2 linked regions of the Mytilus edulis genome follow. Each later gene encodes a partner of the first gene's protein in a complex. Links are inferred from orthologs where the notes say so. Each region holds a gene or a part of one and is shown on either strand. Other genes may lie near its edges. The genes, in order: protein lin-9 homolog and histone-binding protein RBBP4.

Region 1 (3,937 bases):
ATTACTGCAATATAGACTTGTGTCAATAGAAATTTCAATATGCTAACAATATTCGATATTTTCAGGAATAGTATACAACTGAATCCAGAAATTTTCATTCGATATTTTCAGGAATAGTATACAACTGAATCCAGAAATTTTCATAAGGGGGCCCACTGATTGCCTAGGAGGGGCCCGCTACAGCCATGCCTCAATGATTCCTTATATAATCAACTATGTTTTTCTTCAAATCAGCCGCCTCTGCTACTGCACATCAATAGTAAATAAGACATGTATTGGTGTCAATGTTAACCAATCTTAACCTTTTATTAAAATGAAAATTAAAAAAAAACCTTGATGAATAAAACAGCTTGCTTGCGTTCTGTCTGTCATGATTTTTTATAAATTGCCATGTACGTAATCGTTTTAAAAAAAATCGCTGCGTTCTTAATTATTATGTATGGGTTTACTTATATGAGAATTTTTTTCATATTCCTCAACCTGATAGACAATTACTGAAAGCCTTTTACTGTGTTTATTACCAACATGAATAATTGCCTTTTAGAAATAATGAAAATAGCTAACAATCACCTAGCTTCTAATAATGTGTGTGCGGAACATGGACTTTTAAACTTATCATTCTAATGCTTTTAAAGTTCAAGGGTGAATATAATAGTAAACCACATTCAAGTTATTTTAGCAGTTTTAACAGTTTGACAGAGGCGTATATTACAATTATATTATTATTGTATGGTATGTCTCTGATTTTATTCAGGTTTATCGATGACAGTTTACAGTATGGAAAGTCAGTCTCTGGAATGATATTGCTTTGCGATCCAATCTAAGACTACTAGTCTATAACACATGTGTTATAGTAGTCGCAGGATCCAATATCGAACATAAAGTGGTAGAAGATCTGCCGACTCTGATTAAAATAAATAATTAAAAAATATATTCAAAGAGGGCATGTCGCGTCGATGAAGGCGAGGGCCGAAAAAATTGTCTGTGACTTTGAGTTTAACTAATCAGAAGTCTTTTTGCGCGGGAAATTTGAGTTAGCTCCCCTTTTTAAATTCAAAAAGAGGCGCGACCCAAACATGGCGGATGATTCAGAAAGTGAGTTAAAATGGAACAAAGTTTAAATAGGATTTAGCAAATGTCACAAATAAAACCAACAAACCATGCATATAATAAATGTCCATTTGCATAATAATCTTAAAATTGGTTCAGAGGGTACAAATAAACACTAATTATAATCTGAACAGGAAAATCATACCATTTTTTTTTCAACAACGTAAAACTAAAAATGTTTTTTTTACGTCCAATGCACCAGACGATCATTGAATAAATTTATGGTTACTCCCTTAGTAAAATTTCACAAGTTTTGTTATAGCTACAATGTTGAAAGATTCTCTGGACGATAGCTGTGTACACTATAAACGTATTTACACTTAGGTATTTAGCTGAGTTTTGTCTTCAAATGCCCTTAGATCGCCTCCGAATCACATTTTGACGTCAAGCAACAATAACTTTTGTATTGTGATGTCAAAGTTTTTGAATTTTTATGTCAAAGTTTACGGGAACCTGTGTGATTCTACGTTTGTAATAGCGGACAAACTTGCATACAAGTGTAAATACATCTATTGCCGTCACCATACACCTTATCGCTAATCCTGGCTGACCCGAGAGTGTGTGCTGCTTGTCACTTTTCTATTGTGGCGTCAGTTATTTTGTATTATGACGTCAAAATTTTACGGGAACCTGTGTGATGTCCAGTAATGGTGGACAAATAGTGATAAGGTGTGTTACTCAGTATGACAATAATGCCATTAGTCATACATCTTGGTGATATTTTGGAAATCTGTCCTGCTTGAATTTTTTACGCCATACAACAATCGTCAAAATTCATGGGGAACTTTTTTGATGTCCAATAATGGCGGACAAATATCAATAAGATGTATCATTGCATTGAGGACCCTATCAGAATCATCAGTATCACTATTGCTGTATTGGGAAACTGCAACACTTGAACTTATGATGTCATTCAACAATCACTTTTCCTTTGTGGTTTCAAACATTTATACAGGAAACTGTGATGTCCAGTACTAATGGGGACAAAAACTGATTAGGTGTATCACAGACTGATATGTTAAGCAGTAGCTGATAACGCCTGTCTAGTACAAATATTATCAGACTAGTGCAGATGCACTGATGATTGCCTTGGGTCATTTTTGGCTACGGTTAAGGTCAAAGTAGTAAAAAAACTAAAAACATTATTGTGATTTGCCACAGATCTCAAATAGTTAGGTAGTAATGCATGGTGTTCAGTAGCAAAATATCTTACATGTACATGGTAAAATCTGTTGAACACCTAATAGCAACAACATGAACAATGTTTCTACATATAAATTATTATTTTAAGGCAGTATTTTCAAATTTTAATACTTATGTAAATATGATTTTGTTTTACAGATAGAGGAAATGCATACAGATCTCCAATGAAAAGAGTAAGTTTTACATATTGTGCACAAGTTTAACATTTATTTTGATTAAAAGTACATCGTTGACACCAAGATTTGACTTGCTTGCTATCAGATTTGCAATGGTATACATGTACTATTCATGAAAATATGGATTTCTTTTGGTATATACATATATATATAGAAATTTCTATTAATACAAGCATGATCAGTGGTATGACAAAGGGTTATCTTTAAATTTTCTTTACATTTACTTCCTGGAGAAAAATCATGCAAACAAAAAATGTTTATGGTAACTTTGAGAAATTTATAGGTCAACATAAGGTCTTTAACAATAGACAATAAAATTGAGAATGGAAATGGGGAATGTGCCAAAGAGACAACAACCTGACCATAGAAAAAAACAACAGCAGAAGGTCACCAACAGGTCTTCAATGTAGCGAGAAATTCCCGCACCCGGAGGCGTCCTTCAGCTGGCCCCTAAACAAATATATATACTAGTTCAGTGATAATGAACGCCATACTAATTTCCAAATTGTACACAAGAAACTAAAATTAAAATAATACAAGACTAACAAAGGCCAGAAGCTCCTGACTTAGGACTGGCGCAAAAATGCGGTGGGGTTAAACATGTTTGTGAGATCTCAACCCTCCCCCTATACCTCTAGCCAATGTAGAAAAGAAAAGTCTCTTTACAATAAGCTTTTCAATTGCTAGAAGTCTAGAATAGATGTGGATAAAGTTAACAGAAACAATAAATAAGTTAATAAGGTCAAAGAGGACTCATGATTTTTCATGCTAACAGATGTGAAGGTTTTATTGCCATTGGTGTTTTAAGAGCATAATAACATTTTAATGTAAGTGAAATGTGTGTATATTTTCTTTTTCTAGACATCAAGGATCAGGAAAAAGAATCAAAGATTTTACAATGATGATGAAGACACAACATACTCTCCCGCTAAGTCACCAAGGAAACAACCCAGAACTATTGCTGTCAGTATAATAATTAGTCCAATTTATTCACCGAAGACTATTAAATTCATGCAAAACATCATTTATGATGTAAAAAATTGTAAATAATTATATACATATAAATACAGTATGCTATGTAATAATAAAGAAGTGTAAACTTTTAATACCATCTGCCCTAAATTAGACAGCAGGGATCTCCATGGCCTGTTTAACGATGGCGCCCCGCCATCGTTCAAATGTCTTGCTCCATCGTTAAATTGTTTCCGCCATCGTTAAATTGTCTTCCGCCATCGTTCAAAACTTCATCGTTTTTTGCAGCCCGACACCATTTTTTTATCAATTATAATCAAATGCATGTAATTGCATAACCCTTAGGCTTTTTATGTTATATCCAATACAGTTCTAACGCCTGAGGGATATCCGGATTAAGATCGCTAATCACTTGTACCTGAGCTTGTACAGGTAGATCAACAAACCACACAGGAGAATACTATCTGAGGATAGAC
Region 2 (3,937 bases), on another chromosome or scaffold:
CTTTGGCTAAAATTCATCAAATTCAGAATAGAATGAATCAAAATTAACTAAAAAAGTAACATTACTGTTTATTTTTCAACTAGAACATGTAAAATGGCGAACTTCCGGTTTTGGCTTATATAATATCGGAATCAATTTCCAAAAAAAAAATTGCCAACCTATTTTTTAAAAGGATGTAACTGGAACCACACTTATATTTTTATTTGGCCTCAGATGTATACAAGTACTCCTCAGTTTCTTTCATATTTTGGCAGGTTCAGTCCTGGATGCAAAAAGTTAATTTTTTACCCCTGTATATACAGTGATGTCGTTAGAAGCCGGCAGCCGGCGATTTTCGCCGGTTATTGTGCTTTTCCCGCCGGCTATTTTTGCATGAGTAAAAAAAATTAATAAGATAAAAAAGATAATCAGGTTAATATTAAAAAATAATTGTTCAATGCATCAGCTTCCACGATTAAAGTCCGATAAACAAGGATGTAAATCAGTGTTTACCTTTGACTAAATATAGTTCACGTAAATGCAGTCCGCTGATTGGTCGTCTATTTAAAGTCGGTAAGTATTGTAATGTTTGCAAGGATAAAAAGAGAGACGTTCCGATGGACATTATGACCCTGTTTGGTTTTTGCTTCAAGAGGCTCAAGAGAAGGAATAAGCCAAAGATGACAATAGCATGTTATGGAAATTAATATATCAGTCAAATAAAAGAAAGTATAATATATATAATGTTGTCAAGAATCTGGAAAACAGCACTTTTTGAAGTTCACATTTCAAAGCCCACGACCACGTGGTGTCCAGAGAATGAAGGTCAATAACGAAAGTAGAATATTGTCGACCACAAATAATTTTTAAAAATATCTTTTATAGTTCAAAAGGATTTTAGTTTACTGATTACTGAACAGTTAACAAATAAGAGAAAATAAAACGACATAGCTTGACAACATGTTTGAAATACGTGTACAAGTCTTATATGAGATAAAAGGGGGTCATTTGTCACTAAGTACGTACGCAAATAAATCGATCAAGATATTTAATAAATTCGATTATTTTTGAAATAAAATTATAATATTTCACCTATTATTTCACAGGCACTTGCCTGTGTATTATTTACATATATTCAAGAACAGACTTCCTTAGTTGTCTTACAAAAGACACCTTCCCAGAAAAAAATATAATATAGATTAGCCTTGCCAGGACTACGGATTCTCATTTAAAAAAAAAATCAATGTGATTGAAGTCAACAACAAAAATAAGACAAAATTAACATTTTTCCAAGCATCTAAATCACTCTCAGGTATGCTCAGAATGCAGGAATTTTAGTCTAAATTTTCAAATCTTTTTGGGGATAGCCAAGGACGTATATTATGTTAGTTATACGTCCTTGGGATAGCATACGATTTTATAAAATATAGCACCTCTGTAACAGTTTTAACTTTGAAATCGAAGCTCCAGCTGCCTACTAGTCAGTGAATATTGTTTTTAATTTTGTAAAAACAAAACCAACACTTTTTTAATATAAAATTAAAACATTTATAATGTTCTCAATGTCACAATTACAATTTTCATTTAAAACTAAATTATTCAAGTGATAATTCAAACCAGAGACAATATGTTTCTATTCAAACTAAGATTTTTGGATTCTTTCAGTTCAAAAATATTTACTAGCAGTCAACCTGCAGGAAAATGCACAAAAATGTATATTGGTCCATCAAGATGATCAATGATGTGATCACATGTACAGAAAATTTACCCATCATGTTGCTAATTTTAGTTAATCATTTACATTATCTTCAGTAAAAAATGATGTTTTCAGAGGTCTGAATAAGGGTCTAGGACACCCCCAGAATGCAGGATTTTGCACCATTTTAAAAAAAAATCCTGGGGCCCTTGAGCGGGCCCCAGACCCCCCGCCGTAGTAGCGACGAGCAAGCTCGTCGACGCGAACGGCTTTGCCGTCCGCATGTACTTGCGCTTATTTTAGAAATTCAGCCTGCTTCTTCAAAACTTAGTGACATCACTGATATATATAAATTTCTGTTATCAATTCATTTGTATTTCGTTTTGATAAGAGCCAAAGCACAGAATACTGCCAATTAATAATCATTTGATTTATTAACAAACAAAAAAATTCTGGAACAAAATTTTTAAAATGAAAATGAAAATAACAGAAATATAAATTTTAGTGCCTTCAAAGTTTTATCAAGAATAAACATAAACAAGAATTTTGAATTATTCCTGGACTTATATCTTATCTTATATCTTCTGTATTATGAAAAATAATGGGATCCCTCTTTTACAAAAGTTGATCCAAATATAATGACCCCCCCCCCCCCCACTTTTCAAGTTAAAGAACTTTTCTGTATTCTTTTCTGCAACATTAAAATGCCTGCTTAAATGTGTGCAAATATTGCTTGGAGTCTGGGAACCACAATTTGTCAAACAATTTCTTGAATGCATGCCATTGACATTGTGCAATACTATTCACTGGACATTCATTCCATCCAAAATTATAAGAATATAAGGTAGGTCCAGATAGCTACAGTTCTATAGCTAAACAAATGACTGTCGAGAGCTCTTGTCAGAGACTTTAAGGTCACCTCCCATTGGTTGTTAATGTTTTGTAGACCGGCCGGTCATTTCCCCCTTTTTTGTTTGTTTCCTTGTGTCAAGGGTAGTTGCAGTCTCACTTAATAGCAGAAATAAGTAAACAGCTTATGAAAGGTATAATAAAAATAGCTCATTTAAGGCTTCTGACAGACAATGTTTACCACCGTCTTTTTCTGTCATTTTCTTTCTTTCTGTTGATCTTTCGGCACAAAGACTCATGCGCATCAATGGCGCCAAATTTTTAATAATTTACTGCGATTCATTTTCTATAGTAAAAAAAATAAATTAAAGAAGCTAGCAGTTTTTACTGATAACTATTGTAATATGATAAGTAATTATTTTAACTTTATTTCAATATGATTATATAGATAGCTTATTTCGAAATCCAAGTAAATAAAGACAATATCGAAATATATTTAATTGATGCGCCACAGATTATTTTTTAATTATATTTTCTATTAATTCCGAAATGATCGTTTTGTACTCTGAATATAATATGCTAAACTTTGCATTATTTAAAAAAATTCTATTAATATTATTTCATTTCTAATTTTGTGAAGTGTGTATCACACTTGTAATAAATTTCCAACATGGTGGATAATCGTTGAAAACTTCCTGACTAAGTCTGTTTCACAAAATCTACTTAATTGTAGACAACTGACACTGTTAACATTTTGACATAGTACATATATGTGTTTATTCTGGCATGGAAGGGCTCAAACTAAGCCAGCAAGAACAACGAAATTATGGGGAGTTGTTTCAATTATGTGATGTTGATGGGACTGGCAGGATAACTGGGATAAAAGCATCTGAATTATTTCTGTCATCTGGTTTAGGACAGGATGCACTGTTGCAAGTAAATATACAATAGTATAAAATGTTAGCTGATACATTTAGATAAAGATGTTGCTAAGAACTAAAAACTTGCTTTAGCCTGATTGTGTGACAAACCTTACCTTACCTCTGTATCTTTAACCCCCTTTGTAGAGGAACCATACGCTAGTATGTATAACTTGTGGCTTTCTAATATACAGTGATGCCTCCACCAAATGCTTTGAAGTGCTGAGACTATATACACAGTGAGATCCTATCCACACACAATTATATTACAATTCCGTTATCCTGTATTTACAATGTTTCTGTGTTGATTAAAAGTCATGTCACATACTTTAAAATTCCTCTCTTTCTTTATGTATACACTGGTATCACATTTATACCCCTAACCGATAGATGTATTCTTTAAAAATTAGTATCGATCTTTAAAAATATCAACAGCACTATTCCATAATTGCGGTAAAAACGGTAAGAAGATAAAAGAATGATGAATGCCTCT

The links.
Region 2: protein lin-9 homolog (region 1) and histone-binding protein RBBP4 share a complex: the UniProt entries of both Caenorhabditis elegans proteins name them as parts of the DRM complex. The link is inferred for Mytilus edulis from reciprocal best matches to the Caenorhabditis elegans genes lin-9 and lin-53.

The regions. Positions count from the first base shown.
Region 1 is NC_092350.1:21,150,295-21,154,231, reverse strand, and holds the start of protein lin-9 homolog, read left to right. Parts: upstream 1-1,145; 5' UTR 1,146-1,160; coding exon 1,161-1,212; intron 1,213-2,451; coding exon 2,452-2,486; intron 2,487-3,350; coding exon 3,351-3,452; intron 3,453-3,937. UniProt on the Caenorhabditis elegans protein: Synthetic multivulva class B (synMuvB) protein. SynMuvB proteins are required to repress the induction of vulval development by Ras signaling and probably act by forming the multiprotein DRM complex that represses transcription.
Region 2 is NC_092353.1:79,520,905-79,524,841, reverse strand, and holds the start of histone-binding protein RBBP4, read right to left. Parts: upstream 2,903-3,937; 5' UTR 2,830-2,902; coding exon 2,766-2,829; intron 1-2,765. Other genes in the region: ralBP1-associated Eps domain-containing protein 1-like, read left to right, coding at 3,311-3,460. UniProt on the Caenorhabditis elegans protein: Core histone-binding subunit that may target chromatin assembly factors, chromatin remodeling factors and histone deacetylases to their histone substrates in a manner that is regulated by nucleosomal DNA.